4 linked regions of the Alligator mississippiensis genome follow. Each later gene encodes a partner of the first gene's protein in a complex. Links are inferred from orthologs where the notes say so. Each region holds a gene or a part of one and is shown on either strand. Other genes may lie near its edges. The genes, in order: CALCRL, ADM2, RAMP2 and RAMP3.

What was found.
Region 2: the proteins of CALCRL (region 1) and ADM2 are in contact, whole or in part, in a cryo-EM structure (PDB 6UVA), measured with the Homo sapiens proteins. The link is inferred for Alligator mississippiensis from reciprocal best matches to the Homo sapiens genes CALCRL and ADM2. Residues at the interface, in NP_001258680.1 of Homo sapiens: Val36, Thr37, Lys40, Asp70, Gly71, Trp72, Asp90, Tyr91, Phe92, Gln93, Asp94, Phe95, Asp96, Pro97, Ser98, His114, Ala116, Ser117, Thr120, Trp121, Thr122, Tyr124, Thr125, Asn128, Thr131, Lys134, Val135, Ala138, Leu139, Leu141; in NP_001240774.1 of Homo sapiens: Leu106, Arg107, Val108, Gly109, Cys110, Val111, Leu112, Gly113, Thr114, Cys115, Gln116, Val117, Gln118, Asn119, Leu120, Ser121, His122, Arg123, Leu124, Trp125, Gln126, Leu127, Met128, Gly129, Pro130, Ala131, Gly132, Arg133, Gln134, Asp135.
Region 3: the proteins of CALCRL (region 1) and RAMP2 are in contact, whole or in part, in a crystal structure (PDB 3AQF), measured with the Homo sapiens proteins. The link is inferred for Alligator mississippiensis from reciprocal best matches to the Homo sapiens genes CALCRL and RAMP2. Residues at the interface, in NP_001258680.1 of Homo sapiens: Arg38, Asn39, Ile41, Met42, Thr43, Gln45, Tyr46, Glu47, Tyr49, Gln50, Lys51, Ile52, Met53, Gln54, Trp69, Asp70, Gly71, Arg119; in NP_005845.2 of Homo sapiens: Trp86, Ile89, Tyr93, Ser94, Arg97, Leu109, Gly110, Pro112, Glu117, Ile120, Phe121, His124, Gln125, Phe128, Ala129, Cys131, Ser132, Leu133, Val134.
Region 4: the proteins of CALCRL (region 1) and RAMP3 are in contact, whole or in part, in a cryo-EM structure (PDB 6UVA), measured with the Homo sapiens proteins. The link is inferred for Alligator mississippiensis from reciprocal best matches to the Homo sapiens genes CALCRL and RAMP3. Residues at the interface, in NP_001258680.1 of Homo sapiens: Arg38, Asn39, Met42, Thr43, Gln45, Tyr46, Glu47, Tyr49, Gln50, Met53, Trp69, Asp70, Ser117, Arg119, Thr120, Phe228, Leu231, Ile235, His238, Thr239, Val243, Val245, Lys249, Gln250, His251, Trp254, Tyr255, Phe257, Leu258, Phe262; in NP_005847.1 of Homo sapiens: Trp56, Cys57, Leu59, Phe62, Ile63, Tyr66, Glu67, Thr70, Cys82, Tyr83, Pro85, Asn86, Pro87, Leu88, Gln90, Ile93, Thr94, His97, Arg98, Cys104, Thr105, Val106, Asp107, Arg108, His110, Leu111, Glu112, Asp113, Pro114, Val118.

Annotation. Positions count from the first base shown.
Region 1 is NC_081827.1:200,841,320-200,848,653, reverse strand, and holds the start of CALCRL (calcitonin gene-related peptide type 1 receptor), read right to left. Parts: upstream 3,001-7,334; 5' UTR 2,937-3,000; intron 1-2,936. UniProt on the Homo sapiens protein: G protein-coupled receptor which specificity is determined by its interaction with receptor-activity-modifying proteins (RAMPs). Together with RAMP1, form the receptor complex for calcitonin-gene-related peptides CALCA/CGRP1 and CALCB/CGRP2.
Region 2 is NC_081827.1:1,946,101-1,953,594, forward strand, and holds the start of ADM2 (protein ADM2), read right to left. Parts: upstream 3,014-7,494; 5' UTR 2,994-3,013; coding exon 2,890-2,993; intron 1-2,889. UniProt on the Homo sapiens protein: Intermedin/ADM2 is a peptide hormone that plays a role as physiological regulator of gastrointestinal and cardiovascular bioactivities mediated by the CALCRL-RAMPs receptor complexes.
Region 3 is NC_081827.1:152,179,043-152,186,305, reverse strand, and holds the start of RAMP2 (receptor activity-modifying protein 2), read right to left. Parts: upstream 3,012-7,263; 5' UTR 2,967-3,011; coding exon 2,903-2,966; intron 44-2,902; coding exon 1-43. UniProt on the Homo sapiens protein: Accessory protein that interacts with and modulates the function of G-protein coupled receptors including calcitonin gene-related peptide type 1 receptor (CALCRL) and calcitonin receptor (CALCR). Required for the transport of CALCRL to the plasma membrane.
Region 4 is NC_081828.1:117,398,065-117,405,366, reverse strand, and holds the start of RAMP3 (receptor activity-modifying protein 3), read left to right. Parts: upstream 1-4,298; 5' UTR 4,299-4,569; coding exon 4,570-4,621; intron 4,622-7,302. UniProt on the Homo sapiens protein: Accessory protein that interacts with and modulates the function of G-protein coupled receptors including calcitonin gene-related peptide type 1 receptor (CALCRL), calcitonin receptor (CALCR) and G-protein coupled estrogen receptor 1 (GPER1).

The sequences.
Region 1 (7,334 bases):
AGTTCCTAGCCAATGAGGCCCTGAAGATAATATAAGATTCATAGATTGTAAGGCTGGAAGGCCAGGAGGATCAAATATTTTTTGATTTCCCATCAAAAATATTTTTTTTTCAATAATATATGATTTTTCAAACAAATACTTTCTCACAAAAGTATCAGGTTGTCAAAAATGTTGATTTTTAGTAAAAATTAAAAGTGAATGTTTAGAAACAAACAAACATGCATGTTGTGCATGTATATATGTTGACCAGAAACTAGTATTTTGACACTGAAATGCTGCAATATTGGTGTATGGGAGTCAGAATTGGTTGCCTCATACTCGTACCTGCCTCTATCGGCCAGGCCCTTCTAGCTGGAGATCTATTGTAACCTTGTGACTGCCTTGATGTACTACTTTTCCCCAAAAGTAGAGACTGGATGTATTGTGGAAAGTGAATTCCAACCAGGAAGACTATATAGAAGCTAATGGGAGCATGAGGAACCCAAAAAGCAATTCCTAGGAAGTGCTGCAGAGGTATTTTAGAACTTAAGAAATTCATTTTTTTGACTAAAATACTGTTTCTGACAAAAACACTGGGTTTGATGTTTATCAAAAAACATTTTTACTATGAAAATAAACTCCATTTATCACCAATTCTGGTTAGCAACCCAAAAAAATAATATGGGGATAACATACTGATGCTATCAAGCTGTGTGTTGGCTGTAATTGACAATCATATAATGAAAGAGACCAGGTATCATTTGGGAGTTGAAATTAACTTCAGTATATTAAAAATAAGCCCAGTAAAAATGCAGCTTTACAGAAGATAGTATATGTTCGCACCATGAGCCCTTTCGGGCTATTCCATGCTGGAGGGAGATTCAATAAGTTAGCCACTGATTATTGACTTACACATTAGAGATGGAATACCGTATTTACTTGATTATTACAAAAGGGTTTTCTGCTCATTTAACATGGGAAAAAAGACCCTTGTCTTACAGTCAATTATGAGGAAGTGTGTGGTGGCAGGAGAGGAGGAGGTGGGAGAGCAGGAGGGCAAGCAGCTGCGGTGGCTCTGGCCCAAACCTGGGGTTGGAGCTGGAGGTGGAACTGGAGCTGCAGCCACAACCACAGCTGCTTTCTGTCCCCCCCCCCAGTCCCCACTGCCTCTACACACGCACCTCCCCCTGCCCTTCTCCATTTCTTCTGCTCTGCTGCACTTCTCCTTACCTTTGCTCCGTGCCAGCAAGTTCTGCCCTCACTGCAACCTGGATCATGTATAGTGCTGGGTGCCAGCTCCATGCTGCTGCTATGGGGCCAGGCTGGAGCTATGCTCAATGCCCCAGGCTACAGTAGGGATGGAGCCAGGTGATGCAGAGCAAAGGTAATGCAGAGCAAAGGGGAAGGGGCAGGCAGGGGGAAGGTGGAGCAGGGATCTGAGGCTGCAAAAGACAGAAGCAGCATGGAAAGGACTTGAGGGGGGAACAGGCAAAGGGGGAATCAAGGCAAACTGAGGCTGCAGGGGTGGGGGGAGGTACAATGGGGGACAAGTGTGTGGGGGGGGGCAAGTGGCAAGCTGCCAGCCTCTGTCACTGCCTGCCCCACTGCCTCCACACTGCCTGTTCCCTACCACCCCTCCACTGACTGCCCCATTACTGCCCCCATGCAATAATGTAATGACATTTCAACAGTAGCTCAGTTCATCAAATATCACACTTGTATCTTATTTTTACTGAATATCAGACAACTTACAAATCACATGAACTGCCTGTTTTTCTCTTTACTGTGTGCCTCATTGATAGCAGAGGCATCTATTGCAGAAAGTTGTGTGGCAACTGTAGGCTAAATGTGGCCAGAAAATCATGCTCATATAGCTTTAACAGATGCTTCCATTTCTTTCTCCCCAGTTCTCTGTGTACAGACATCTTGCCTGCACCATCAGCTCCTTCTGCTTTTACTTTTTTCTCTTCCTCAAAAGAATAAATTTAATCCTGGTTGTACTCTAGAAACTAATAATTTTAAAGCCAAAAAAGATAAAAACACACTTTATATTTAACGCCCCCCCCCCCCCGGACTTGAACATCTATCCTTTTACCCTACTTAGTACAAAATACATATATATATATATATATATATATATATGTCACAACCCAAGGGTGCGATTTTTGTTTTGTGTGTGCTTTGGCACCACTGAATTATTTTCCCGCCAAATTGTAGCTTTCTTTGCACTGTGCATTTCTTCTTTGTAGCTAAGAAATGCTCGTTGCAAAGAGTTCCCGTCATTTGTATGATAATTCAAGCCCCATTATTGGCTTGCGTGAAATTATTCACACGTGGCGGCTAGTGATTGGCTTGCTAGCCGTATAAAAAGCTTGAGTGGTTTCCGCCCAAGTTGGAGGACTCCACGAACACCAGAAGGAGGGATCTTCACATTGTGTGAAGATCTCTAAGCGCTGTGGAGCCTATCGGACCCAGTGCATTTAAAGCAGGCAACAGAGGTCTGATCAGCCTCTAGCCTCTCCCCGTCGCCATTCGCAATCCTCGACGTATCCCTCTCCCTGTGTGCAAAAGGACCCACGGAGCCTCAACAACTCCGTGGGAGAGACCTGAGCTTGTTGTAGTCCTCAAACGAGGATTTAATCGGAGCTGTGCCTGGGAAACTGTCCAGCCTACACCGCGACCATCTTCGGTGTAATTAAACAATCTTGAATCAACCATTACGCGTCCATGACTAATTCTAGCACGTCGCCTGTTTTCTCCAATCCAGCGTGCCCGGGCTGCTGGCCACAGCTTGCGCGGCTTGAAAAAGGGCCCGGATCACCCCCGGCCCACACATGGCGACGAGGATGGGATCAGGAGAGAACACGCTAGAGCTAGAATTAGTTACGAACTGCCCTTGGCGTGATAACAAACGCCAAGTGAAAAGTTTTGATGAACTGGAGCTGCATATCACTTACCACCAGGCGGGTGGAACGGGTGAGAGATTTGTCAGCGGACGCCTTTCGCTGAAGGGAGAAGAGGGAGCCTCCGAAGACGGAGCCCTGAGAGAGAGAGAAGTGTATTTGCTCCCTGCGGCATTCAGGTACATAATGAGCAACGAGCGGGTCTTGTTCAGGCCCCTCGATACTGTGTCCCTCGCCAGAATCAATCCGGCGGGCGCAGTGAACCCGACCCTCACCCGGGAGTGTGCCCGATGCCTACGATATGCTTGGGAGAGTGAAGAGCCGGTGCCAATCGGCCAGTTCCCTCCCCTCATGGCGTCTAGGTTAAGGGGTCGCGAGCTTCCATCCGAGCTCCACGAAGATCTGGAGACGGAGGAACGCACCGCAGATGAGAGGGTGGCCCCGTGGTACAACAAGGGGGGAGAATTAAGTGCAACTTTCCGTACAATTGCTGATTTAATGAACAAGAATTTAAGTTTAAAGGCCCAGCTGCGTATGGCTGTTCAAGCGGTCAAAGAAGCGGCTGAGAGAAGGGATCCTGAAACGCCAGCCCAAGATGGCGCCGAGCAAGAGGGAGACCGCGTGGAAGAACCAGAAGAGAAGGGTGGAGCTTCGGAGGAACCCGCGAGAGTTCGGTCAGCAACTCCGCCCATTGATGCAGCGTCGTCTCCAGCAACCCCGCCTAGCGATGCGGCGATGCCTCTGCCGACCACGCCTTCCTGCCGACGAAAGAGAGAGTCAAGCGGGGGAGTGCATCCGCCCCTCCTGCCTGAAGCAGTAACAGCAACAGTGACTCCCGCAGCGGCAGTTCAGCCTACAACAACGACTAATCGAGTTGCTACTGCCTACTATGCTCGCGCCAGAACTGAATTACAGGATTTGTGCAGAGAATCAAGAATCCAACCTGAAGAGACTCTAGCTGTATGGTTGGGACGTTTAGTCATGGAACTTGGATCCAACCTGCTGAACCAGGAAGAAGCAAGCTTCTTAGTCAGACAAGCTTCATGGAGTAGAGGACATGCCACTGATATCGACATGATAGCTGTCAACGTTCACTGGCCTATTCCGCTGCCAGCGCTTGTTGCAGGACTGATCGGTCAAAAAGCCCACGTATGGCATGAAGGTTGGCCAGAACATACCGGAGCAGAGCATCTCATGCTAGGAATCATCGGAGTCTTGTACTGTGCCTGGAACCCTAGAGCGTGCGCGCTGGGACTGACATCACTCCAGCGAATAAGACCACGGCCTCACCGTCATCTACGAGATCCTGGAACTGTTCCAGTAACCATTCACAGCTTAGATAGTTGTCTTGAGGTTTATGGGTGAAAGAACATCGTCGTCCTCCGGATTCTGCTTAACCCAATGGTGAACCAACCCGTGTGTAATCTCCTTCGTCAATTGTCACGACTGCGTATCCTAATGGAGCCAAGATTACCTATTGATCTGGACTGTTGACACCCGACCGAGATTCAAGGCACAAGACATCGTGAATCCGATCTTCCATCATTGCCACAGAGAACACCAGAAGAGCGATACATGTTTGGATTTCTCCTACAGCATTCTGGACTCAATAAGCGGCAAGTTCGGATTTTAGGGGACACAGGTCAATGGCAACTGGCCTATGAGTTAGGTTTCCGTTATCTAGAAGAGCTAGATGACGGCTCCTCGACAATTTCATCTAGTTGAGTGTACAAGAGAGGGTAGTTTAGGGTGATGAATACTTGTATTATAGTAGAGTTCCATGGAAACTTTGTAAATATGTTGAGATGCGTTAACCTATTTTTTTTTGAGAGTTTTTGTTTACAGATCCAGAATTCAGAATGCATGGTGAAGAGAAGCCCTGAGAGGGATGACATCGTCTGAAGAAGTGAGGGCCTGACGTACAACTTTGTCATGACGCCCACTGAAGCCCTAATCGTGCAATTTTTGTTATGAATCTGATTATGTGTATTTGTGTTGGTTATTGTGCAACTCAATCCCAGGAGAGCGAATTTTATGTTGGGGAATTTTATGTTTGTTTGTTTGTTTGTTTGTTTGTTTGATGACTCATGATAAGCTCTGGATCACTCGAATGACAAGCGTGCAGCATAATTCAGTTGTGCCTTCAGCAAGGGGGGATGGCACAGCCCAAGGGTGTGATTTTTGTTTTGTGTGTGCTTTGGCACCACTGAATTATTTTCCCGCCAATTTGTAGCTTTCTTTGCAGTGTGCATTTCTTCTTTGCAGTTAAGAAATGCTCATTGCAAAGAGTTCCCGCCATTTGTATGATAATTCGAACCCCATTATTGGCTTGCGTGAAATTATTCACACGTGGCGGCTAGTGATTGGCTTGCTAGCTGTATAAAAAGCTTGAGTGGTTTCCGCCCAAGTTGGAGGACTCCACGAACACCAGAAGGAGGGATCTTCACGTTGTGTGAAGATCTCTAAGCGCTGCGGAGCCTATCGGACCCAGTGCATTTAAAGCAGGCAACAGCCTCTAGCCTCTCCCCGTCGCCATTCACAATCCTCGACGTATCCCTCTCCCTGTGTGCAAAAGGACCCACGGAGCCTCAACAACTCCGTGGGAGAGACCCGAGCTTGTTGTAGTCCTCAAACGAGGATTTAATCAGAGCTGTGCCTGGGAAACTGTCCAGACTACACCGCGACCATCTTTGGTGTAAGTAAACAATCTTGAATCAACCACTAAGCGTCCGTGACTAATTCTAGCGTGTCGCCTGTTTTCTCCGATCCAGCGTGCCCGGGCTGCTGGCCACAGCCCACGCGGCTCGAAAAAGGGCCCGGATCACCCCCGGCCCGCACAATATATATATAAGCTTTTCTCTATAAGACATTATTTAAGGCTTGAGTCTTTATGTATGTAACAATGGAGGCATCTACACAAGATGCTAAAAGCACAGCAGACTAATTCTACTGCATATTAGCATGTCACAGTAAAAGCCATACTAATGCACTAACGCTCAGTAGAATTAGTCTACTATGCATTAGCGTCACATAAAAGGCATGCCAGTGCTACTGCACAGTAGCACTGATTATGGCACATTAAGTTTAGTACCTGCTATAACAGGTACTAAACTTAATGCGCCATAAGTCTGGTGCATTAATGCATGTGTAGATGTGCCCATTGTATACTTTGGGGCAAAGCCTTATTTGTGTAGGCATACTTAACACATCCACAGAACTCCTGCAGTGGGTATATACCATGTAGCAATATTTGATTAGATTGTACAAGAAGAGATCTTCCAGAAAAAAATGACAAACTTCAATTTGCTTTCTGAGTCATTTAAAAATGTGCAATAGTGGACATACAGTTTTAGGAACAGATGTCTACCTAAACCTCATTGGTTGAAACATTAGAGTAACTATTTCATGTCAATAGATTCTCTCTCAGTTATCTTTCTTGGTTTTAAACTGGTTGAAATAACCCCCAAAATGACAGTTTAATGACAGGACATTTATATTTCTGGTTACTTTTGAACCAGAATGCTCAGGGTCATCTACATGTGGGGATCCTGGATGCACCGTCCAGCTGTATTATCTATACACTATACTGGGGAAAATCAAAAATAAATCACAAATAATCTTTACTTTTTTTATTTTTGGAGACAGACTTATAGCAAATTAGAGAAACAAAGTTACAGTCTTCCAAAGAGTTAGGAGCATAGGACTCAAAACTTTAAAACCCCCAGGCAAAGATTTTGTTTGGTTCAGCCCAACATGTGGACAAGCTAGAAGTTATCCACACTTTTCATTAACTTGAATCCCCTGCAAGCATGTTGGCAAAGAAAGAGGAAATCTCAGACTGAAATAATGGTTCAAATGGATCAGCATAGAGAGCCTCTTCCTGTGCCACGCTGATCACCTGCAAGCCCCATTGACTTCTGAAGAACTCTGCATCTTACAAGAGCAGATCCATTTTAACTCTTAATTAACCAGCTTGATTAATATGGTACTACATATTTTAGAGATTAATTTACAAAGCTGAAAGTGGGTTGCAAAATATCCGACTCTGCTGAAGGGCCATGTAGTATAGTTTGAAAATGCTCATAATCTGATAAATTTCTTTTCAGTTTGTGAGGAATGGTCTCATAGATTTCAACCAATTTTAATAGAACTAACTGTTCATTAAATGGGATTACCTAACTGTTAGCTCTTATTCAGACCTCTTACAGTGAGCCCTCTTACAGCCAGTTGGAGCTAGTTAATCATTAATGTGTTAGATATGAGAAGCATAATTTCAGACCATCAGAATTCACTTTGCAGCAATGCCATTGAATAAATCACAGTCAATAGCATTTTGACAATCCCTACACAGGTGAGGGAGACATTTAGAAATGTTTTACCAGCAGCATTGTACAGACATATTTGCAAACTGCAAAATATTTTTACAGCATGTGAGCTATGAAACAGAGTGCT
Region 2 (7,494 bases), about 200 Mb from region 1:
GGCAGGGCCAGCACAATGGGGCTCGTTGTGGCCGCAGCGGTCCCCGAGGGAGGCTCCGCGAGGGCAGGGAACAGCCGGAGCCTTGGGCATCTCCCCCTCACCCCCCCAGCACGTCGGCGCAGCCTTTCTCAGGCAGGGAGAGACTCTGGCGCGGCTCCAGCCGGCCTCTCACTCCCTGCGGGGGCTGGGAGGAGGCAGCTTTGGGGGTGCCCCTCCGCGAAGCCCGGCCCAGCCCAGCTCTCTCAGCCCCACACGGGGCCGGGGGCATCGAGCAGCCGAGCAAGCGCCGGCACAGGCACGGCGTATCCCAGGAGGCTTTGGTGCAAGAGCCGGGACCGAGCATGGAACCGGGAGCCAGGAGCACCTTGCTAAGCTCTACAGGTATCCTGAGGAGCGGGGCTGCCCGAACCCCATGCCCAGCTGTGCAGAGAGGTGCTCCAGCCTCCCCCTAGCCCAGCCCTTGCCGGCACCATCCCCACGCAGGACACAGCCCCCGCCCGGGGAAAAAGCCTGTACGCCGTGGCCGGGCCAGCGCGCCCCTGGCCTGCACTTTCCCAGGGAAAGACGGGTCTGGGCTGCAGGGCCGGGAGGGAGAGACCCGGGTAGCCCAGGAAAGGGAATGGGATTATAGAAAGCAAGGGAGTTGTGGGCACTGCTGCGAGGAAGCTCACAGCGCTGGGGGCAGCGGCAGAGCACCACTGCGAGGAAGCTCACAGCACTGGAGGCAGCAGCAGGGCACCACTGCGAGGAAGCTCACTGCCCGGAGGCCCGGGCGGGTGAGGATCTGGCGCCCTGCCAGGACGGCGCCAGGGTGGAGAGGACCCGAGGAGCCGGCAGCAGAGGGCGGGAGGCCAAGGGCAGCCGCAGCAGCTACCTGCCTCGGCACACGTACATCCTCCGCGGCCCAGAGGGGAGGGAGGTGGCAGAGGCCCTGCCCCAGCTCCTGCCACGTCCTGCCCGGCTGGGGCACGTCGCCAGGGGCCAACACGGCTCCTTGGCTCTGCACCTGGAGGCTCCCCCCTGAGCATGCCTTGCTGGGACGGACCCCTGCTCCCAGAGCCCTCCTCTGCCACCCCCCAATGCCTCCAGCTCCCCACCTGCAAGCCACAACCCCATGCGCCACAGGGAGGCGGCACGTACTACAGGGGGGGCTTCCTCACCAGTGCCCAGCCCCCCAGGCACAACTGTACTGGGAGAGCCCACCCCACATAGCTAGGCCCCAAGGCCAATGCCAGAAGCCTGCAAATACCCCATGCCCTGCTCCCACCCCCCGGGGTTAACCAAGGGGGTTGCACCCAGCTGGCCCCGGCTTTGCAAGCAGGCATGGGCACGGGATCCCCCAGCACGGCCACGACCCTGCATGACCCCCCGGACACGGGAACCCTGTGGTCTCGGGGCTCTACTGACAGCCACCCTAACGCCCCACATCTGCAGGGCAGGGCCCAGCCGCGGCTCCGTGAACCCTCGTTACGCCCGGGCAGCGACCTGCCACCTCCTGCCCCCTCCGCGCTCCACTGCACGCACACTTGGGGTCACTGCTCTCGAGGCATCTCCCAGTGCACCAGTTTGGGGGGCGTTCACAGCTCCACCCTGCCCCACATGGCAGCCCTGCCTCCGCCGTGCCCATCTCCACCTCCCTCAGTGCCCAGGCTGGGTGCACACACCCATGTACTCATGCCTGTGCATCCTCTCCCCGCACCCATCCCCCACGCACCCCATAGTGCATCCACACTTGCACGCAACCTGCAAGAGCACACCCCCATGCATTCACACTTGCATGCACACGCGTGCCTGCCTATCCATATGTGCAGCTGGGCACCTGTCTCCCATCTATCTACACCTTCACACGCATGTGCGCAGGCACACGGATGGATGCCTGCGTGTACACCCCTCCGACAGGAATGGCAGCACACACCTGCCTACACGTGCATGTGAAAACACGCATCTCCGCCTGCACACACAGCAAAATGCGCAGCCGCCCACAGGGGCTAGCACATACGAGCCCGGTGCCCACGTGCCGGCTGGGCTCACGTATGCACCTCTACACGCCCGCTGAGTGCACGTACACACCTTGCCTCCGGCTGCAGCCCACCCCTGCCCTGTGCTGCCTTCAGCACCGGGTGCCTCCTGCCAGACTCAGGGCCCCGGGGCTGGGTGCTGCCTCCCTCCCTCTCCATCCAAGAGATGTTGGGGGGACGAGGGCACCCAGGAAACCCTGCTTCGCCGTGTCCCCCTGGGAGATGCTGCCCCATCCCAGGAGAGCGCGGCCAGCCTGGGGATGGGAAGGAATTCCCTCAGTCCTGCCTGGGGACAGACAGACGGACGTACGGATGAACGGACAGATAGATGGATGGACAGCTTGGCCCCAGCCAGCCCCCCACACTTGTCCCGGCCTCTCCCCGGCGCCTGGGAAGTGACAGCTGGCAGCACAGATGCTCCCTGGAGGGTCAAGACCTGGAGGTGAGGGAACACCATGCCCTGCCCACTGGCTTGGGGCCTGAAGAGCCCCTCTGCCGGGGTTCCCCGTCCCTCCCCTGCCCACGGCTCGTCCCCCGGGAGCCGTGACACCCGGGCCAGGGAGAAAGCCGGGCACTTGCCCGTGACTGAGCACGTCGCACGGAGCCCTGCAGCCCTGCGCGCTGGGACCCGGAGCCCCCCGACCCAGAACAGGATCCGACCCCGCATCCAGAGCCCGGCCACCAGCCCTCTTCCGAGAGCCCCGGGCATCCCAGCCTCTCCCTAGCTTCACGGCGGGGCTCTGCCGGACTCTGCCTGGCCACGGGGCTGCGGCTCCCCCGTCCCCGGAGACACCCAGCCGGCTCCTGCCCGGGCGCGAGCACACCCTTGCACGCGGGGCAGGGGCTCGCGCCTTGCTCCGGCGGCACTCACCTGCGGCGGGGCAGGGACAGCGGCAGGGGCAGCGGCAGCGCGGGCAGCAGCAGGCAGAGCAGCAGGCTGACGCGGGGCAGCGCGGGCGGCGGCGGGCACCGCATGGCTGCGCGGGATGGATGGACGGGCGGACGGACGGGCGGGCGGGCGGGCGCTCCGCGTTAAGTAGCGGCCGCGGGAGGAGCCCTGGGCCGGGCCGCGCCGCCGCTCCGCCCCGGGCACCTGCCGCCCGTCCGTGTGTCCGCCCCGCTGCACCGCGGCCCGGCGCCAGGCGAGGGCGGCTCCGCTCCGCTCCGCTCCGCTCGGCCCGCGGGCCGGACGGCCCCCCGGAGCGCGCAGGTCGAGGCTCGCCGCGGGGCAGACCCCCGGGACACGCGTCGGCCGCTTCGGGGGTCCCCGCGGGTCCTGGTCCGCGAGGCCCCCCGCTCCCATGCAGAGGGGCCAGGCCCCGCGTGCTCCGCATCACTCATATTCCTCCCCCCAAGGCTCCAGTCGCCCGCCTTGCCCCACGCGGGGGGATTTGCTGCGCACCTGCGGGGGGACCCCAGCGTTGTTGTCATCGCTCAGCTCCGAAGCAGCGCCGCGGGCTCGGTCCCCCGGCTCCGCGGTCACTCTCGTCCCCCCCGGCTGGGATTCCTGTGGGCTGCGGGAACCTCCCGGCACTTTGTGGCCGCATTATCCCAGGAAATGGGGCTGGGAAAACAGCTGCTATGAACCGGGGATGGGAGATGGCTGGAGAACGGGCCCGGAGTCATGATCTTGGCAGCACGGGCAGCAATGACCTGGGAGCGATCCCTGTCCCACGCTGTCGGGCAGGTGGGGAGCAGGGGCTGGGGATCCCATGTGACGGAGGGGTCTCCAGGAGCTCTTCCCCCTGCTCCAGGCTCTGCTCTAACCACTAAACCACCCTGTCCCCCTTCCAGGCCTCTGGGAGCACCTGCCCCCATCGCTGCCACCGGCACTCAGCCCTGTGATGCTGGTACATCCTGCTTTCCATGGGGCAAGAGGGTTTGGCGGCCTCCCTGGCTCCCCGGGCCCGGCGTCCCACAGGGCCACAGGGGTGGAAAGTTCCTGGGCAGTGTGCCGGGAACATGGTGGAAGTTTCCAGAGGCCGGGGAAACCTGGGGGCAAATTCTCCAGGCCGGAAAGTCTGCTGTCAGCACCCCCTCCGGCCGAGCCGGAAACGCTGAGCTGAGCCCCGAGTCACTCGCCGCGCGGTGGAAGCTCTGATTCCCCTGTTGAGTCGGCCGAGGTTTTCCAGCCAGCCTCACGTCCCTGGCATTGCTCACGGCCCCCTCCCACCTGCCCCTCGTCTCCCTCCTGACCCCCAGGACCGTCTCTCCCTGCCTCCGGCCTCTCTCTCCTGAAATATCTGATCCAGGCCAGCGCTCAGCTTGCTGGTCTCCACCCTGGGCTCATCTCACTGTTACAGCTGGAAAGGCTCCAGGGTCTTTGAAACCTTGGCTCGGAGACCACGGAGCCTAGGCCGTATCCCACGGGGCAACCCGGCCATAGCCCCTGAGTCTCCTGCCAGCACCCGCAGCCTCACCTTTCAGCAGGAAAGGACTCGAAGGTGCCAGCGCTCAGAGACCCCTCTTACTGCTCGGCTCTGCCCAGAGAGAGCATCCCTGGAAGAGGTAGGTGGCTGCAACCCGAGAGCAGGGGGCTCACCAGCCTCGCGGGACAGGGAAGAACGTGGTCCAGGGCCCGGGAGTGAAGCCCGACAAGCCCCAAGGTAAAACAGAGCAGCGATGCAGGATCCCAGTGTTACCTAGGGGGATTTTCCACCACCGGTAATTTTAACCCCTGGCCCAAACAGGGATGCTCAAGTGCCTCCAGACAGCTCCGCAGCCGGCGGGAGGGTTGCAGCCACTCCTCTCAGCCTTATAATCCATGATGTGAGATTCATTCCCTAACAACCCCGTGTGGCCCCGTGCCCCGTCTCCGACAGAAGCTCGAACCCGCGGCCTCAGAGCGGAGTGGTCCTGGCTGATGGATGTTTTCCCTTGCGCTGGGTGGGTGAGGGCACACCGGGCTGCTCCTGGATGCGGAGACTGCTCCATGCCACGTGCCGCTTCGCCACCCACCCAGGGCCCCTCTGCACCAAGGTCCAGCTCCTTTGTGAACCGGCCAGGTCTGTCTTTCCTCTCCCCCTTCCCTGGATTATTCCCAAGCCCCGAGAGGTTCTTGTCACTTGTCCCGAACCCCTCCAACCTTTGCAAAAGGAGGTGGCCAGACCTGGCAGCCACCCTACTGGGGTACTGCCCATCACGAGAGCACCAGCTTGATGGTCCGGCTTGATGGGGGCAGCTGAGCCTCCGGCGTGATGAAAGCTGGGATGCTGGGTGCCTTCGGAGGCCATGCCTGCTCACAAGGGGTCCCGCTGACCTGGGGCCAGGCAGGATTGTCCCTCCAGACCAGGCCAACCCTGACCATGGGGGCTTTGTGCCTCTACAGCAGGGGGCACGGGCCCCTCTGGGCTGAGCTGACCCCACCACACCCCACCCACGGCAGGGGGGAGGTACCGGTGCTGCCCTGAGGAGAGAGCAGGCACGACTGCAAGGAGCGTTGCTTTATGCAGGACATCACATCTCCCACTGCCGGTGTCCGCGCCATGATGCCGGCTCCTACACTGGGGGCTCCGCCGTGGAGCAGGGTCCTGGGGAGATGGTGTCACCTCTCTCCCCAGCCTGGTCTAGGTGGGACACAGGGTGCCGCCTGGCTCAGAGGTTTTGCCCCCACTTCTGCCCTTGCCAGCAATGCAGCTTTCCCTTGTCTCAGGAGTTTTTAACCCTCCCCCAGGGATGCTGGTGCTGCTGCAGCCCAGGCTGGGGCTGGGGCTGGGCTGTGCCGATGCTCCTGCTGCACCCACCCCGCAGGGTCCTGGCTGGAGGGTCTTGCCCCTGCGCTCAGGCTCAGCCCCACGCTGCACTGGGGCAGGAAGGGATTTCCCCCTTGCTCAGACTGGTTGCACTGGGGGGGGGTTGCCTTCCTCTGCAGTGGGGGCACAGCCTGGGCCTGGGCTCAGTGTAGTGTCCATGACCCCCTGGCAGCAGCAGGATGTTAGCGGCCGCGGCCCCCCTGTACCCCCGGGGTGGGGGCGGGGGCGATGCCTGGGGCTGTGTCAGTGACTCCGAGTTCGGACATGGGGCTGATCCTGCCTTGGGCTGGATGGGACCCCACAGCTCCCTGCCAGCCCCCCGGCTCCAGGGGTCTATGACTCTAGGACCCCTCTTCAGGATGCTCCTCGCCCCCGACGGCCGGCCTGTGCGGTCCAAGCTCTCCACGTTGCTCCCTGCCAAGGCTCCGCCTGCTCTTTCCACCCTGGCCCGAGGAGGGATGACTGCATCGCACGTCTCTCGCGTCCAGCTCCGCCAGGTTTTCCCCTTGGTCTGTGTCCTGGAACCGCACCCCTCCCCTCACGCCCCACACGTCCTCCCCACGGGCTCGGTCAGACCTCAGCTCCCACCTGCGGCTGAGTCACCCCAGGCAGGCAGGCAGGGTCACTACTGCCCAGGCACAAGGACGATTGCAGCAGCTTCTCCAAACCCGGTGTGAGCGCCGTCCAGGTTGTCCCAGTCCTGCTGGCCCCTGGGAGCTGCCAACTCGGACGCCAGACCTGTAGCTCTCGACCAGGTGCCGCAGCCCCCCTGGGGCCCTGTGGGACCCTCGTAAGGGTGTGGTGGGTGTGTGGGATGAGCACTGCCAAGTGTGCAAATGCCTGCATGTGATTCAGTAGGTAAACCCAGAAAGAGGACTCTGGGGTGCTATAAACTCCCTGCCTTGCTGTGGCCTCGCTGAACTCGGTGTCCCCGGGAATGGATCTAGTAGTTTTACATCATTAAGAAATGAGTGACCTCGGCGGGAGGGCGCGTTTGGATGGGGCCTGAAGTCTAACGAGGGGGGAGGGAGTCTAACAAGGCTGAGAGAGTGGCAGCATCCTCTGTGCTAGCTGCCCCCACTCCTTTCTGCTCCATGTGTCGGGGGGTTGAATCCTCCCCCCGAGGCGCTGGTGCTGGGTGCAGCCCATGCTGGGGATGGCCCCCCCACCCCGCCCTGCAACGTGGGGTTGCAGCGGCTTCTCCTCTGTGGATTAGCTGGATTTTTCCAAGCTGAGACTCGCGCTGCGATTTCCTGTTCACGTTCCTAATTCTTTGGTTCCCGGCCGGCGTCGGGGGACCTGCACAGCTCTTTGCTGACTCACGCTCGCAGCCAGGCCAGGCCTCCGGCTCCCGTTCTGGGAGCGCAAGAGGCGGCTGGAAGAGACGCTAGAGCGGTGATTCTCAACCAGGGGATGCTGCATTAGCCCTTTGAGGTGTGCAGACGCGATTCACGGGATGATCCCAGAGATTTCCAGCATCCAGTGTTGAAAGCATCCCTACTGCTTGAGGAGTTTTTTGTAACGTAAGATTTATTCTAGCATTTCAGCTAAGATACAAACCTACCTTGGTGCTTGTGGGAAGACCGAGGGTAACCCCTAGCAAGGAGAGCGGGGGTTTTGTATGTGTGAGAGACAGAGAAAGAGATAGGGAGGAGCAGTGCAAGGACCGCTCCAGCCGCCACCGCGCATCCCCCATCTGGACAGGTGCCTGCAGCTCCTCCTAT
Region 3 (7,263 bases), about 49 Mb from region 1:
TGTGTGGCAGTCCCACCATGGCATACCTTGCTCCCAAGAGCCACTGGGGAGGATGAAAAATCAAAGAATGAAAAACAGGAGTGAAAGGGAGCTCAGCAGGTGATGTAGATCAGTCCCTTGCTCCAGGCAGGACTTGGACTCAAAAGGAGATGTGTTGTAAGGACTTGCTTCATCCATCCCTGCAGTTCTGTCTCTCTGGGCACTGCCCCAAAGCACCCTCTGGCCTGTGATGTTTGGGAGAAGCTGGGGGTAGCTGTAGGCACGGGGCTAGTGACATAGGTGGTATATTTCTTGGGCTTGGTCAACAGTAGTGTAGAGGTCAAGATTTGCAGAACCAGCCTCTGATACTTGGTACCCAGATGGTTCTGGGCAGCCTGATGGCTACAGGGAACCAAATGCTTGTTGCTGTCAGCTCAGCTGGCACAGCGGTGCTCAGGACCCCTCCTGCCCTGGCCCCAGAGTTTCACCCAGCATCCCCACTGCTCCCTGCTACATCCTTCTTTCTGCAACTCTTGGGTGCAGTAAAGGCTATATGCAAATGAAACGGCATGGCATGGCATTGCACGCATGGTGAGTGCATTGGCCATGGAAAGGCACGTAGCACCTGCAGCAGTTGGGAGCACTGGGCAGGGTACCACCCTGCACCAATTCCACAGGGAGATGAATTGGGCATAAGACAGGTAGCTCTAAGGCTAAGCTTGGGAGCAGAAAGGGAAAGAGGAGGGGACAATCGAAGTGAAGTATGTAATTAGGGGAAGAGCTGGGTTGGGAGGTGTTGGGACCCAAAGGCTTCTGGGCCCAGCTTGATAATACTGGCAATTGGCAAGAGACTACTGTCTGTTTGCTGCATGCTTGTTCTTAGCTGCAACCCAGCAGAAATGTGACAGACAGGTCACCCTGACCGTGACCTGTCCCTGCTAAAGGAAAAGAAGACATCTGGAAGGATCCTGGTTGGATGACCAAAAGCTAATCAGGAAGTTGGCTAACTAAACTGAATAAAAATAACTTGGCAAAAGAGGAACAGTCAGAGCAAAATCCTACTGCCACCTAAGAACAAAAAGATTACCTCAGAATTAAAAAAATTCCAGTTAAAGGTAACCATATATGGCAAGCGGAAATCAGCTCGTTAATATGCATTGTAGGGAAGAGTTTATGCTAATATATTAATAGTAATCAGCAGCGATAAGGTATATAAGTACAACCCAGCTTTTCCCCTAATCACATGCTTCACTGTCTTCCTAGGGTAGTGGCTGGACCTGTTCCTCCTACAATGCCATGTCTAAACCTCCCTTGAGATTTCAGGGGAGAGAAGAAACCGGTCTTCATGACCTGGACTGCTATTGGCTGCCAGCACCCACTGTGATGGTGCAGAGCAGATGAGCCTACCTTGCCGGTCTGGCTGGAAAGTGGACCTGGGTTAGGGAAGCTGTCTTCTTGACCTTTCCTTCCTCATGGGGACCTGGTCTATGACACAGCAGAGCTGGGAGGCAGTGGGTTGGGGGCTGTTTGTGGTACACTGCCCAGTGGGGGCTGCTCTATGGCATGGCAAGACTGACAGTCCAGTCCCTGAAATTGCAAGGCTGGGAGGACTGGTTAGTGCCATTCCAGAGATGGCAGGATTGGCTCACTGCTTGGCAGTGCTGGGGGATCCAGTCTGTGGCATGCTGAGGCTTGGGGCTGGTCTGTGGTATGCCAGGGCTAAGGGACATCTGGCTACTTGCTGTTTCTCTACCTACTTTTGCATTTATGAGATCTCACAGGCAGCAGTACTTCCTCTTCCCACCACAGTTTTGCCATGGGAGCAAGTCTGAGGCTCAGTGACAAGTTGCATGCCCCTGGGGAGGGGAAGGTGGGAGGGCAGGCAGACTGGTGGAAGACAGGGGTGCCCACAGTCAAAGTATCGCCAGCACTTTTCTGTCCAGGGCCCAGGCAGGTCATCCTACCATTGATTCAGACAGAGGCTTGCAGGTTTGGGACCTTTCAGTGCGTGTTTTGCCATCCCAAATGTCCCTAATGGTCATGATGATAATAAACAGGGGAAAACGAGGGGAAGCAGGAAGAGGTGCCCAGAGCCAGGCAGCAGCATTTGCATACCTTCCATGATGCAGGCTCAGCTGCAAGGAGAAGCATGATGTTACACATGCTCACATAGAGCTCTCGCAAGCAGCTCCCCTGCACAGACGCACACCAACCCCACGGCCAGGACTCGCACCAGACACGTGTGCTAAACGTGCTTCCCACTGCTCACAAGCACCCTGCCAGCCTAGCCTCCTGCTGGATTCCCATCCCCTTCACACAGGGGGGGACCGAGGCATAGAGACACAGGTCGTCAGAGCCAGAGCCGGTGCTGAAGCCCAGGAGCCCTGTCTCAGAAAGGTAAAAAGGACTCCCCGGAGCCTTCTCCTCTCTGTGGGTTAGTGATTCATTTTTTATATTTGTGTGCTGCCGTCTCCAGAAGAGGCTCAGGAACTGTCCCACTTTTCATTGGGGCTGCTGTCCCTGCCCTTCTCCCTGCTCCCCTGTACAGAGGGGTCACTGAACCTGGTCAGCAGCACGCACTGCCCTGCCATGCAGAGCTCCCCTGGCTGGAGGCTGTCACACAGAGGGAGAGAATATTTGATCTAGAGTCAGTAAAGAGGGCACATTGCTGGAAGGGGAGAAGCCATGCTTGCTCCTGCAAAGTTGCACTTGGGGCTCCCCTACTTTGCAGTCCCACCCCAAAAAGAGGTGAATATAGCCAGGCTTCAGCAGGGGTCACAGCTCAGAGAGGCTGCAGCCAAATCTAACATGTCATATAGCCCAAATCTGTGAACCCTTCCACCCCTTAAAGGCCCCTGGCAGGGAGAAGAGCCAGCCCCAGGCAGCCCCACATCGGGCTGGGCTCAGCCAGAATTGCACTTACCCCAGAGCAGCAGTAGGAGCCCCCGGGAAAGGCAGCCAGAGTCTGTCTCTTTGCATAGTGCCATCCTACAAAGTCTGCCTGCTAATGACCAGGACAAGTATTTCAATGGAAATAACAGGAAGCAACTCCTTTCCTCTGACAGGGGTGGTATCTACTACAGGAGACGTGTGAAAACTGAGATTACTCAGTGCTGCTTTAAAACAGATCTCCCAGTGGGACTCTTGTCAGAACAGTGCAACCACTGGGCCCCCATGCTGCTAGGTGTGTGCTTGGCGCCTATGGGCACCGATCCTCACCACCCAGAGCTGCCCCAGCCTTGGGGTACCTCTGTCACTTTACCCACACATCTGGCCAGTGGCAGGGAGAACTCTGCTCCCTTTACAGCACATAAAACTTTTACAAGGCCCATTATTTGTTTGTGTATTTCACTTTAATCCTGTCTGGGCTGGGTTGTGAAATCACCAGTCTCCTGCATGGAGAGCAGGCAGCCCGGGGGAGTGGATGGGGAAAGTGTAATATCTCAGTTGGGCACTGATATTAGTGAGCTATGCAGTTTGTAGGCTCGGAGGCAGGTTTGGGGAGCTTCAAAACCAACAGCCCTATGTCTGCTGCTACTACCTCAAGACCATCTCTCAGCATTTACCTCTGAACCCAGTCTGAACACCACTGCTCAGGGGGTAATCTTTCCACCCTCTCCAGCCCCCTGGAAAGCAGTGAGGAAGACAGCACTTGTTGCCCCCTCCCCGCCCCCAAAAGTGCCAGGAAGCCTCACACCATCACAAGAAAACCCTGGGGGAATTCGTGTTTACCAAAGTGGGGGAGCCCAGCAGCTGCTCAAGGCAAGAAAAAAGAGCAAGCACCCACCCCATTGCTCTGCTGATTCCCTCCACTCCTGATTCCTGGTCCCTGCTTGCCCAGCCTTGGGCTCCCCAACCTCACAGCTCTGCTGGTGCCCCTCACTCCTGCCCCCAGCCCCTGTTAGCCCAGCCCTGGGCTACCACAAACAGAAATGAATGGCTAGTCCGAATGACACTGCACAGTGTATTTGTTCTGTGATGTGCTCGTAGGGGGAAACATGCTGAGACCAGACACACTCATCTCACTTCTGGCTTGAGGCAGAATTTGAGCCTAATGTTTCCTGTTTAGCAGGCAGTTTGTGGAGCTCACAAACCGTGTGTAAACTGCAGGGCAAAAGGACTGCAGCTAAGAGGAACCCTCCCTGCACTGGAAAGATAATATCACTCTGCGTTTTGTGCTTTCCCTGCAAATGTCCTTGCCTAATGGGCCAATTGTCTCTGGGCTGCGCAGTAGTAGCTTGTTCCAGGACACTGCAAGATCTTCCATGGGAGAGTGGCCGCATCTGGAACACATAATGACCCGCACATGAAACTCCTGGGGTGTGCTCAGGGGTTAGAGCCCCTCGATCCCATTCTTTGTTGTCTGCACACTTGGAGCCGAGCCTCGAGTTCTGCAGATGGTGTTTCCTTGCCAAGGCAACACCCACTGATGTCATCTGGAGTACTGCCGCTTGAACAGGGCCATGCTTGTCACTCATGTGTGACGCTCCCAGCCAGGACTGGCCGTGGAGGAGTCCCTAGTGCACAGATCCAGGCTGGAGCAGTTCCACAAGCCCGACTGCCTCGCTTTGCCAGGCAAACACCATGTTCTTTGCTGATCCCTGAGGAGGAACTCTAGTGGGGCAAAGTGACCAGTGAGTGGCAGGCTGATGACAACGTGATCCCAAAGTGCCAGGATCCTGAGAGGGGAGCCAGGGGTGGAGAGGAGCCCATTCGTATTCTTGCACCCTCCTGGTCATGCCTGTCAGTGCTACCTGACTGATAGGGGCCAGGCTGTGCCTCCAGGCTTGCAGGGAGTCTTCTTTCTCCATCTAGGCTGGAGCCTTTCTGGGCAGGGAGAACCCACACCAGAGTGAACAATAAACACTTCTCCTGGCGCTCAGCCTCCAGCCCCTCCCAGCAAGACCTGGAGAAGTCAGCACAGAACCACAGAGCAAGCCCCAAGGCCCTGGTGCAGAGTGGGAAGGGTCTCACAGTGAGTCAATGGCAGAGCTTTGAATGGATCCCAGGAGTCCTGACCTCCAGCCTCCTGCACTGTAACCTACTGGACCTCATCTCCCCCCTACACTTTCAGGGCTAGGACCCCAGAGTCCTGACTAACCCTTTGCTAGAGAGCCTTTGGGCCCCATTCCCCTCCCACCTACATCTAGTAGTAGAGCCCAGGAGACCTGACCTCCAGTCCAGTCCCACCCCTATTATTTTAAACTTGATCCTGGTGTCTTCCCGATCCCTCCTGTATTCAGCTGGCTCCAGATACACATTAGATCAGGGGACTTTACACAGTGATGGGTGGGCAAGCATTTGCGACCTGTCTGCTGCTGTGGACCACTGCTCCCCCCTAGCATGCCCCTCCACAGTACCCCAGCTGCCTGCTGCTGTCTCTGTCATGAACCCCACCTCCACCACCTGCACTGTATGTTGCTGGTGCCCACTATCCACCAGCAGCAATGGGGAGGAGCAAATTTGGCAGCAACAATAAGCAGTGCCTGCTGTAGGGAGCCAAAGAGACAGCAGGAGGGAGGACTACGCGGGGTGCTACAGGTAGCATCTTGCTGAGGCTTCTGGTGTGCAAACAACTCTCTTGATTATGTACTTAAAGAACTATTGACATTAGAGAGGTAACAGTCTCCCTACTGCCCTTGCAAGGTCTGGGGTCTGCCCTTATTGTGGTCCTGCCACACCAGGAAGTTCCTGCTGGTCCCACCCAGATTATCTCCTAAAATGCCATGCTTCCTGGATCCTTTCTGTTTCCAAGAGGACTTACTCTGTGTTATGTTGAGGAGGCACAGTGCAGAGTGGAGAAGGAGGACGCACTGGGCCAAGCTGAGCTGTGTACTGCCAATCCCCTGTGCCACCATGGGCCCAACTGGACCATCACCGGCTACATCTAGTCCCTTTGTGGGCTGGGATGGCCAGTGAGACATAGGTTGCTGATACTTGTACTAGACCCTATTCCTTGGGTGGGCAAAATATGGCCCATGGACCGGATCCAGCCCATGGAGCAATTTTGTCTGGCCCACAATGGGTTCCTCAGCCCCGCCTGGCCCAGGCACGGGGGGAATCCAGGTTGTGACATGTGCCTGGGTGCAATGCAGGGCTGGGATGGTGCAGCTGCTGGATTCAGCACCGCTGGCCAGGCACCCTGGCCCTTCCACCCTGCACCCACCGACAGGGGGAGGGTGCTTAGCCAGGCAGCTGGGTTGGGGTTGCAGGCTGGTGGGGAGTGGTGTTTGGAAGTGGGATGGGCTGAGGAGACCCTGGGATCTTGGGGCAGTGACAGCATGGGGACCAGGCTGGGGCAGAGCTGCAATCTGTTCTCTGCCCGTGGAACCCACTCTCATCACAGGGGTGTGTGGGCACCAGATCATGGCTCTGCCCTGCCCCATGATCCTGGCCTTGCTTGCCCCTCCCACTCCTGAACACTGCTCCCAGCTTGCCCACAGGTTTTGGTGCAGTTGCTGTATGAGGATGGGGGTGCTAACCTGGCCCACAACACCTCAACAAACTCCCTTTGTGGTCCATGGGCCCAAGTAACTGCCCACCCCTGCCCTATTCCCTGCTAGACCCAACACTCTACCCTATAGCAGGCCTGTGTTCACAGACCTCTGCTCGAAGCACTGGACACTCTTTCCCTTTCTGATTTGTCCTTAAGGCTGTTATGTACAATGTCCTTTGTCTCCTAAGCCTGGAGAAGGGTACAAGGAGCACACAGGGGTGAGGCTGGGTCCCGTTATGGTTCTGGCTCAGCTCTCCTGCTTTTGCGGAGAGTGAGAGCAACTGCGAGGGGGGTCAGACAAATCGACAGAGTGGCCAGAGCGTGGATAGTCCTGACGGGAGGCTCAAGGGGCCCAGAGCTTTCAGCTGCTGTGCAGTTGGGGAAATATTCCATATGGATCTGCAGGAAGAAGGAATCAAGAGTAGGGCTGGGCCATGGGCAGGCCAGGGCCTCAGCCAGCAGCTCCGTGCAGTTGGCAAGATTGCTGTAGGCGCTGAGGAAGGAGAGGAGAGGATGTGAGTCTGTGTGTGGCTCAGAGCAGCTTGAATAGTTGGAGTTGGGTCCCTCTGGCAGCCATTCAAGGGGCGATGAGAAACTCAGAGCCCGGCATGTGATAGTGACAGAAACCAGCCTCTGTCCTGTCACTGTGTGCTGTACTTCCCCCAGGTGCTCTGTGCTGCACACACTAGACAGTGCTGCACCCAGCATGCTGCACACTGTATACATCAGATGGGGATGCACATAGCACACTACCCAACCAAATGGCATGTGCCATACAGCACTGCATG
Region 4 (7,302 bases), on another chromosome or scaffold:
CCTTTCCATCACTATATCTTGCGTAGTTATAAACGTTTTAGGTGTTCATGTTCATAAAATTACTCATCGCCTATAATAGAATTAAAATCTAGCAACATATTTATCTAGCAACAATCTGCTTCTATATTGTTGTGTCATTCCTCATAGGTCTTTGGTATTGAAGCTACTGCCTGTCTGCTGTGCCATTACTACTGTTTTATTTGGTAGTCATTAATAGAATTTAAAGTAGCACTTGTAGAAATTTGTTTTCAGTATCTATGGGCACTGACAAATGTGACTATCTGTCGTACAGTCGGCCACTGAAAGCACTCTACAGCTGTGCACTGACAGAAGTTCACGGCTGCAGAGCACTTTAAAAAATGCCAGATCACATGACAATCTGAACCCTCATTTCATCGGGGTTTACATGAGGGCACTCCAAAGTGGAGCACCTTCATTAATGCCTGTCAGCGTGGGCCAGGAGCAGGCCTAAGCTGACACAACCCAACCCTGCTCTGGGAATTTTTTTTCAGAATGGGAGGGGAGGGGTGGGGGGGGAGTGAGCCAGCTGGAGGGTGGGGTGGGTGGGTTGGAGTCCCCCCTGTCCCTTCACTCCAGGCTGGGGAAACCCCAGAATTGATCTCCCTCCCTTGCCTTATCTCCTCACCCTCCCTTATCCTAGGATAGCACTGGAGCTTGGAAAGGAGGGTGGGGTTAGGGGACAGACATTGCAGACAAGCAGCCTCTCTCCCCAGTTCAACTCCAAAGTGGAACTCAACCCCTACCCTCCCAATCCAACAGCAAATGTCTGTTGGGTTGGGAGGGTCAGTTTACAACTCATGGGGCTTTCTGTGAAGCACCATAGTTAAAACGGGAAACTGCATATCTGCCAGTGCCCTCAAAGGCTGAATGCTCGACATGATGCTGCTTTCTTTGGAGGCAGCCTTTATAGGAGTTGCAACAAATCAGGCTTTTCAGATGATAAGGGGTATGACATTTTAAGTACATAATTGCATAATTGGCATCATAGGATTTTTCATTTGAAGGGGGTAGGGTGTGTGTGTGTGTGTGTATGCGTGCTCTCTCTTGCACTCTCTCACACACACATGCACACCCCCCCTCGTTTGTATGAGAAATGTTGTCATTTCTTACTCATAACTGCCAAATATAAATTTCACAGCTTTTCTGAAGAAGCAAATTAGTTAGCGCTATCAATATTAATGGTTTGAGAGAGAGAAGTTTGTGTTACGAGGGGAAAGCCCATACATAATTACAGTGACATTATGAAAAAAGTGTTAATTTTATAGCATTTCTGTTTACAAGCTGTTCCCAAATACATAGACATCTAAGAATTATTCATTTTAGTTCAGTGTGCTGAAAATGTCAGCTTAAGTAGCTGGCTTATGAATTTTAAATAGCTTTACCATCTCCAAACTAGTGTGCTTGCCTATAAATTTCAGTTGTTCTGTACTGGAATTTCACTGGCATTCCATGAAGTAAACAGAAAATGTGGAACGTCTATTGAATTTTACGAGTTAAAAAAAGAATTATTTCACATAAATTTGCTACTACTGTTATGCAGGATATCTTCTCTCCTGAAGATGTATGAACAGAAATACTTGCTGCATTATTTACAAACAAACTGTAGTTCTAGATCAGAAATATTTGTTACATTTCAGCAACACTTCTGTACCATCTGCCATAGAAACTTGGATTTCCTTAAACTATTAAGCACCATACATCCTACCACTTGGGAATATTAATCCTGGCAAAATATATGATTTGTAAGAGAAATTTGAAATATGACAATCCTGTTCCTTATTATTATTACTGTAGGAAATATAATGGTCATTTATTACAGACTAGTTAATCAGAACTTCCTTATGATAATGGGATGGCTTTTGGATTCTCTTGCTTCTCCCAAAACACAGGTGCTTGCTAACTACAGCATTGCTGCATGATCTCCATTAGCTATTTGTTATCTAAAACCTTAAATATTTCATTGACTCCCCTTTTATCAATGGCATGTGCAAAGTAAGAAATTCATTATTCACAACTTCTTTAAAAATTAATTGCAGATATGTACTACAGTGTCTTGGACTTTTAATTTAAAGGTTAGATGAATTCTTTTCCATTTTTCTCAATTTGGTTAATAAAATAGCATGGTCAGTTTATTTTTTTGTTTATAGTCCATTTCATTTTCAGATGCACATGCAGTGCGCCAATGTTAAGTTTGAGTCACAAATGCTGCCTGGGCCTTTGAAAATTGTGCAGAAACACTGTTTTCATGGCATTGTTTGGTATGAGAGGAAATGCATTCTCATGTGTGTGTACATACATAAACTCATGGAAATCTATGCACAGATGTGCACATATTTGCATTAGGTTGTATAAAAAAAAGAATGTACTTTTGTGATTAATCTTGACCATATCAGTGACCATGTTTTCCTTTACTACTTAAATGTAATTCTCCAGATGCAGTTCTTCTGCTTATCTAGACATACTTTCTGGCTGTTTATTAAACTGACCAGCATAACTGTTTTTGGCTGTCTTGGTAAGTCTCCAGAAAGTGTTTTTTACTTCTTCCCCCTGGCCTTTCTTAGCTAGGATGCTAATTTCCCAATACTTATAGATCAAAAAAATACACAAAGTTTAAATATTAATGAAAATGAGCAAATAAATCCCTCTGGACGTGGCCATGCTAAGATGAAATGGCATCATTAAAATACATTAAGCCCTTACTTAAAGCCCTAGCTATTCTGTTTTGGAATATACCTTTCATGAGCACCACTGCTGCCAAGTTGCAGCACTCATTTGCAAATACATATTCACACTTCAGCTCTGTACACCGGGGACTCAGCTGCAAGGAGTGAAAGCAGCAAGTTCTATCTAGGATTTCTTGAGGATATATTGACAACATTTCCTAAAAGCAGGATGTTGGCTGCATGGTACCCCTTCTTTATTTGTGGCAGGGCTGTGTTGGCAGAAGTCTTATATAGAGTTTATATTATGGATTGTATAGGAGAGTTTGGATAGGGATGATCCTGCCTCAAGCAGGGGCTTGGACTAGATCAGTGGCTCATAATCTTTTTTTGAACTAGGACCCATTTGTAAACATTGGGCAGGCCTGACCCACTTAAATAGTTTAAGTGAAAAAACAGCCCCCAGGCCCTGCCTGTGCCCCTCACTCCTGACCCAACCCTGACCCTGGACCCCCAGTGTTTGGGGCAGGGGGAAGTATGTGGGGTGGGAGGGGGCCCAAGCAGCCCCTTGCAGACTGGAATTCTGCCAGCCTGCAAAGGGAACCCATGTTTCAAAAGAATCATAGATGTCATAGACATTAGAGCTGGAAGAGACCTCCTGAGATCATCAAGTCCAGCCCCCTGCCCAAGGGGCAGGAAGTCAGCTGGGGTCAGATCACCCCAGCAACATAAGCATCCAAGTGTTTCTTAAAGGTATCTAGAGTAGGTGCTTGCACCACTTCTGGGGGGAGTCTATACCAGACTCTGGAGACTCGGTAAAGAAATGTTTCCCTATGTCCACTCTAAAACAATCTTCCAGCAGATTGTGACCATTAGACTGTGTCTTCCCTTGGGGTGCCCTGGTGAACAGCCATTCTCTTAGTTTTTTTCTGATGAACCCCCCACAAAAGAGTTACTATTTGATATCCCGGAGATTTTCCCACACTTTTCTCCTTTAAAGGAGAAAACATTTTTAAAGCTTTTTGTGGCCTTTTCATATATTCCTGCGACCCACGGGTTAAGAAAGACTGGATTAGACCCCTGGAGGTCCTTTCCAGTCCTACTTCTCTATGAGTCTGCAACTCCAGGTGCTCCTCTGCATCATCCCAGTCTTTAAAATATCTTGGCAGAGGAAGCTTGTGCCAAGATTGCCCCTGCTTAGGGGCAGGCAGTCCCTTGAGAGCTCTGGATCTTGCTGCCCTTGGTCCTTTCCTTGCTGAAGGAGATGCTTGGAGGCAATGGATTTATTCGCCAGTGAGTGCCCCAATCTCACTGGAAAGGAAAGGATGGGAAGGGAGGGTAAGTGCAGACTAGGCAGAGGCTCCCTAATCACAGAGGCTCCACTAGAGCCTGTGTGGCATCAGGCACATCATGTCCCTGGGAGGCACAGAGGCACAGAGAGCAGTGCATGCACCCCCAGCTCCCTCCTCAGCTTCACTCTCCTGCTCAAGCCCTCCTCCTCCTCTAACTTCCCATCGGCTGCCTTGGAGGATCCCAGAAGAGCCACAACATCCTCCTCCCAATCTAGGCGGGCTGGAGGAGGCGGGGGGAGCATAGGAAATGGGAGTTGGGAGTTCACTGGTGCCGAGAGGCTGCTGAGCAGATCACATCTCGGGACAGAGCGGAGGAGGAGGAGGAGAGGGGCTGGGGGAGAGATCGCACGTCCCATCCACCCTTCCCACCCCTGCGCTTGCCGCTGCTCGGGCTCTGATGCGGAGGAGCCGCCTTGCCGGAGAGATCGGGGTTGATCCGAAGTGGCTGCGGACCTGCCGCCCTTCCTCCTCCTCCCCATGAGGGCTCTTTCCCCCAGAGGCTCCTGGTTGCTTCCCCTGCTGCCTCCGGGGTCGGGATGGAGACGCCTGCTTTCTGGCTAGTGCAACTTTTCCTCTGCCTGCTGTGCGGTGAGTACATCCCTGCCGGGTGGGATCAGCTCCGGCAAAAAAAAAAAAAAAAAAAGGGGGGGGAGGCAGGGAAATGCAGGGCAGCAGCCCCTGCGGGGGGAGCAGCACTTCAAGCAGGGGTGCTAATGAGTTAGCAATGATTTGCTGGGAAAGTTTGAGATTTAACTCTCAGCCTTAGTTCAAAGGGGAATGACAAACCACCCTATGAACTTCACTACTGGAGACAAAAAGTCAGCGCTAAACATAGAATTGGATTTAGGGTATATTATAACCTGCCTGCCATCGGATACCCCCCAGGTAACCTGTCTGCATTTTACCAGCTACGTTTTATCACCAGCTCAACCCCCCGCATCTACCTGGGTTCTCACCTCTTGTCTCCCATCCCCTCTGATTCTCACTGCCAGGCATTTGCATTTTCACAGACTTTGATTTTGCATACTGCCTTCTATTCAACCCAGGAGAGCACTAAACCTGTTCCAGCCTTTTGCACTGAAAAGCCCCATACTAGTCTCCCAAAACACCAGCAGTCTCCCAATGCCTGAAGAAGGGTGTTTGTGCCAGAAAGCTTGCAAAAGACCATTTTTTCCAACTATTTAGTTGGTCTAATAAAAGGTATCATATCTACCCAAAGAACCTCATCAGCCTTAGTTCTATTTCACTAGCAGCTCAAGCATTTCTGGGTTTCCCTTGGCAGGAGAAAGAGATCAACTTCTCTCTCCCTCTCATTTTTTTTCTTCTCCCCCCCCCCCCCCCCCCAGTATTTTAGGCTGGTGATTTTTTCCCCCCCTTGCTGGAGAGGCAGAGCCCTTCCGGAGTGGTGATTTTCAAGCAGGGTTTATTGCAACCTAGGAGGAAAACCCTAATAAAACTTCCACCACCTCCTTCCCAACTCCCAAGCTCCCTCGGGATCGTTCAGTGACAGTCTCCCATCAGAAAGGCCTGCTGTGTTTTGGGAGAGTAGTAGGGGTCTTTCCAGTGCAAAAGGCATTTTTTTTTGCAGCAATATTAATTGTTCCAGAGCAGGCTTCGCTGGTGATCTCGGTGGCTGGAACTCTGTTTTGAAAAGAGAGACTGCAGAAAGGCTCTGTAAGATACTGACCCTCCTTATGCCCGAAGAAGGGTGTTTGTGCCCAAAAGCTTGAAAAGAACATTTTTTTCCAACTGTCTAGGTGGTCTAATAAAAGAGATCACATCTACCCAAAGAACCGTGTCTGTAAGATACTAGATCTTGAGAGAGGACTTTTCAAAGAGCAGAAGGAATCTCTTCCTGGTGAAAGCAACCCTGGGACTGGATCTGTGATAGTGTCTTGTGAGGAGAGAAGATGTCTCCAGGCTCTGCTTCCCTCTCCCCATCCCCACGCCTTATCAATGAGTTGTACAGTGTCAGATGTGTATATTTTGCCTCCAGTGTTGGTGATGCTGATGCTGCGTCTGGCAGGGAAACGCCTTCTAATTGCACAGCAGATGCTTGATGTGAGTTCCAGAGAGCAAGAGGGAAATAAACACAGTTTGAGACCAGACCAAACAAACCATCCAGAAAAGTGTTAACCGAATTGTGGCTGTTGTGGATGCTTATGCACAAAGCAGATGGCTTCCCCTCCCACACCCCTTTGTTGCAATGGTCCAAACTCAGGTTGCACGTTTCCCTGAAATATAGTTCAAAATAATCATCTTTGATGTGGCAGCACGCGCGCGTGCGCACACACACACACACACACACACACACACACACACACACACACACACTTTGCCTAGGTCCTGCAGCAGACAGACACACATGGATACATATATACATATGTACACACACTTGGATGCCTAGATCCTGCAGCAGAAACAGGCACACACACATGGATGCCTAGGTCCTCCAGCACACACAGATGCACACTTTGATACAGTATTGCCAACCCCACCATGCCAAAAATCATGAGATTGGCATGTAAATCATGCAATGCTATTTTTGAAGTGTGTGTGTGTCTGGGGGGGGATGTTATTTGTGAAGGTGCGGGGGACTGTGGGGGTGTGTGTGGGGTTTGGAGTCTGGAGAGGGGGGTCCCCACACACCCTGGCAGGAGGCCAGGTACTGTGGGTTAGGAGTGAGAAGCAGCAGCTGGGCTGGGTGGGCTGTGGCTTGGGAGTAAGGAGCAGACACGCAGAGACATTGACATATACACAGACAATACCCAGCTGGTAAGTGGAGGGAAATGGGTAGGGGGGGCCAGATCGAGGCATGGGTGAATGGGGCCCTGGGGCCAGGCCAGGTCATCCAGTGGCATGGCAGAGGGGCGTGACCCCCCGCAGCAGTGCACACCCCTGGGGAGGCATGGGGCACGTGCCCTCTATGGGACAGAGGCAGGCTGCCTGCTGCAGGCTGGGCTCTGCTGCCTTGCACCAGGAGCTCAGCTGTGCAATACTATTGCCACCTGTTAAGCAGGCAGGGGACATGAGGTGTGCTGGCTGCATGGCTCATCCCCCTGCCCCCTCGTGGCAGGAGGCACACAGGGCAAGGCAGCAGGGTGCAAAGCCCCAGCTTGCAGTAGGCAACCCGCTTTGATGCCCTGAACCTGCAGTGGACACACGGGCACACGTGCACACACACATTTGTATGCCTAGATCCTGCAGCCAACATGCACATGGACACATGCATACATGCTTTGAAGCCTAGATCCTGCAGCAGACACATA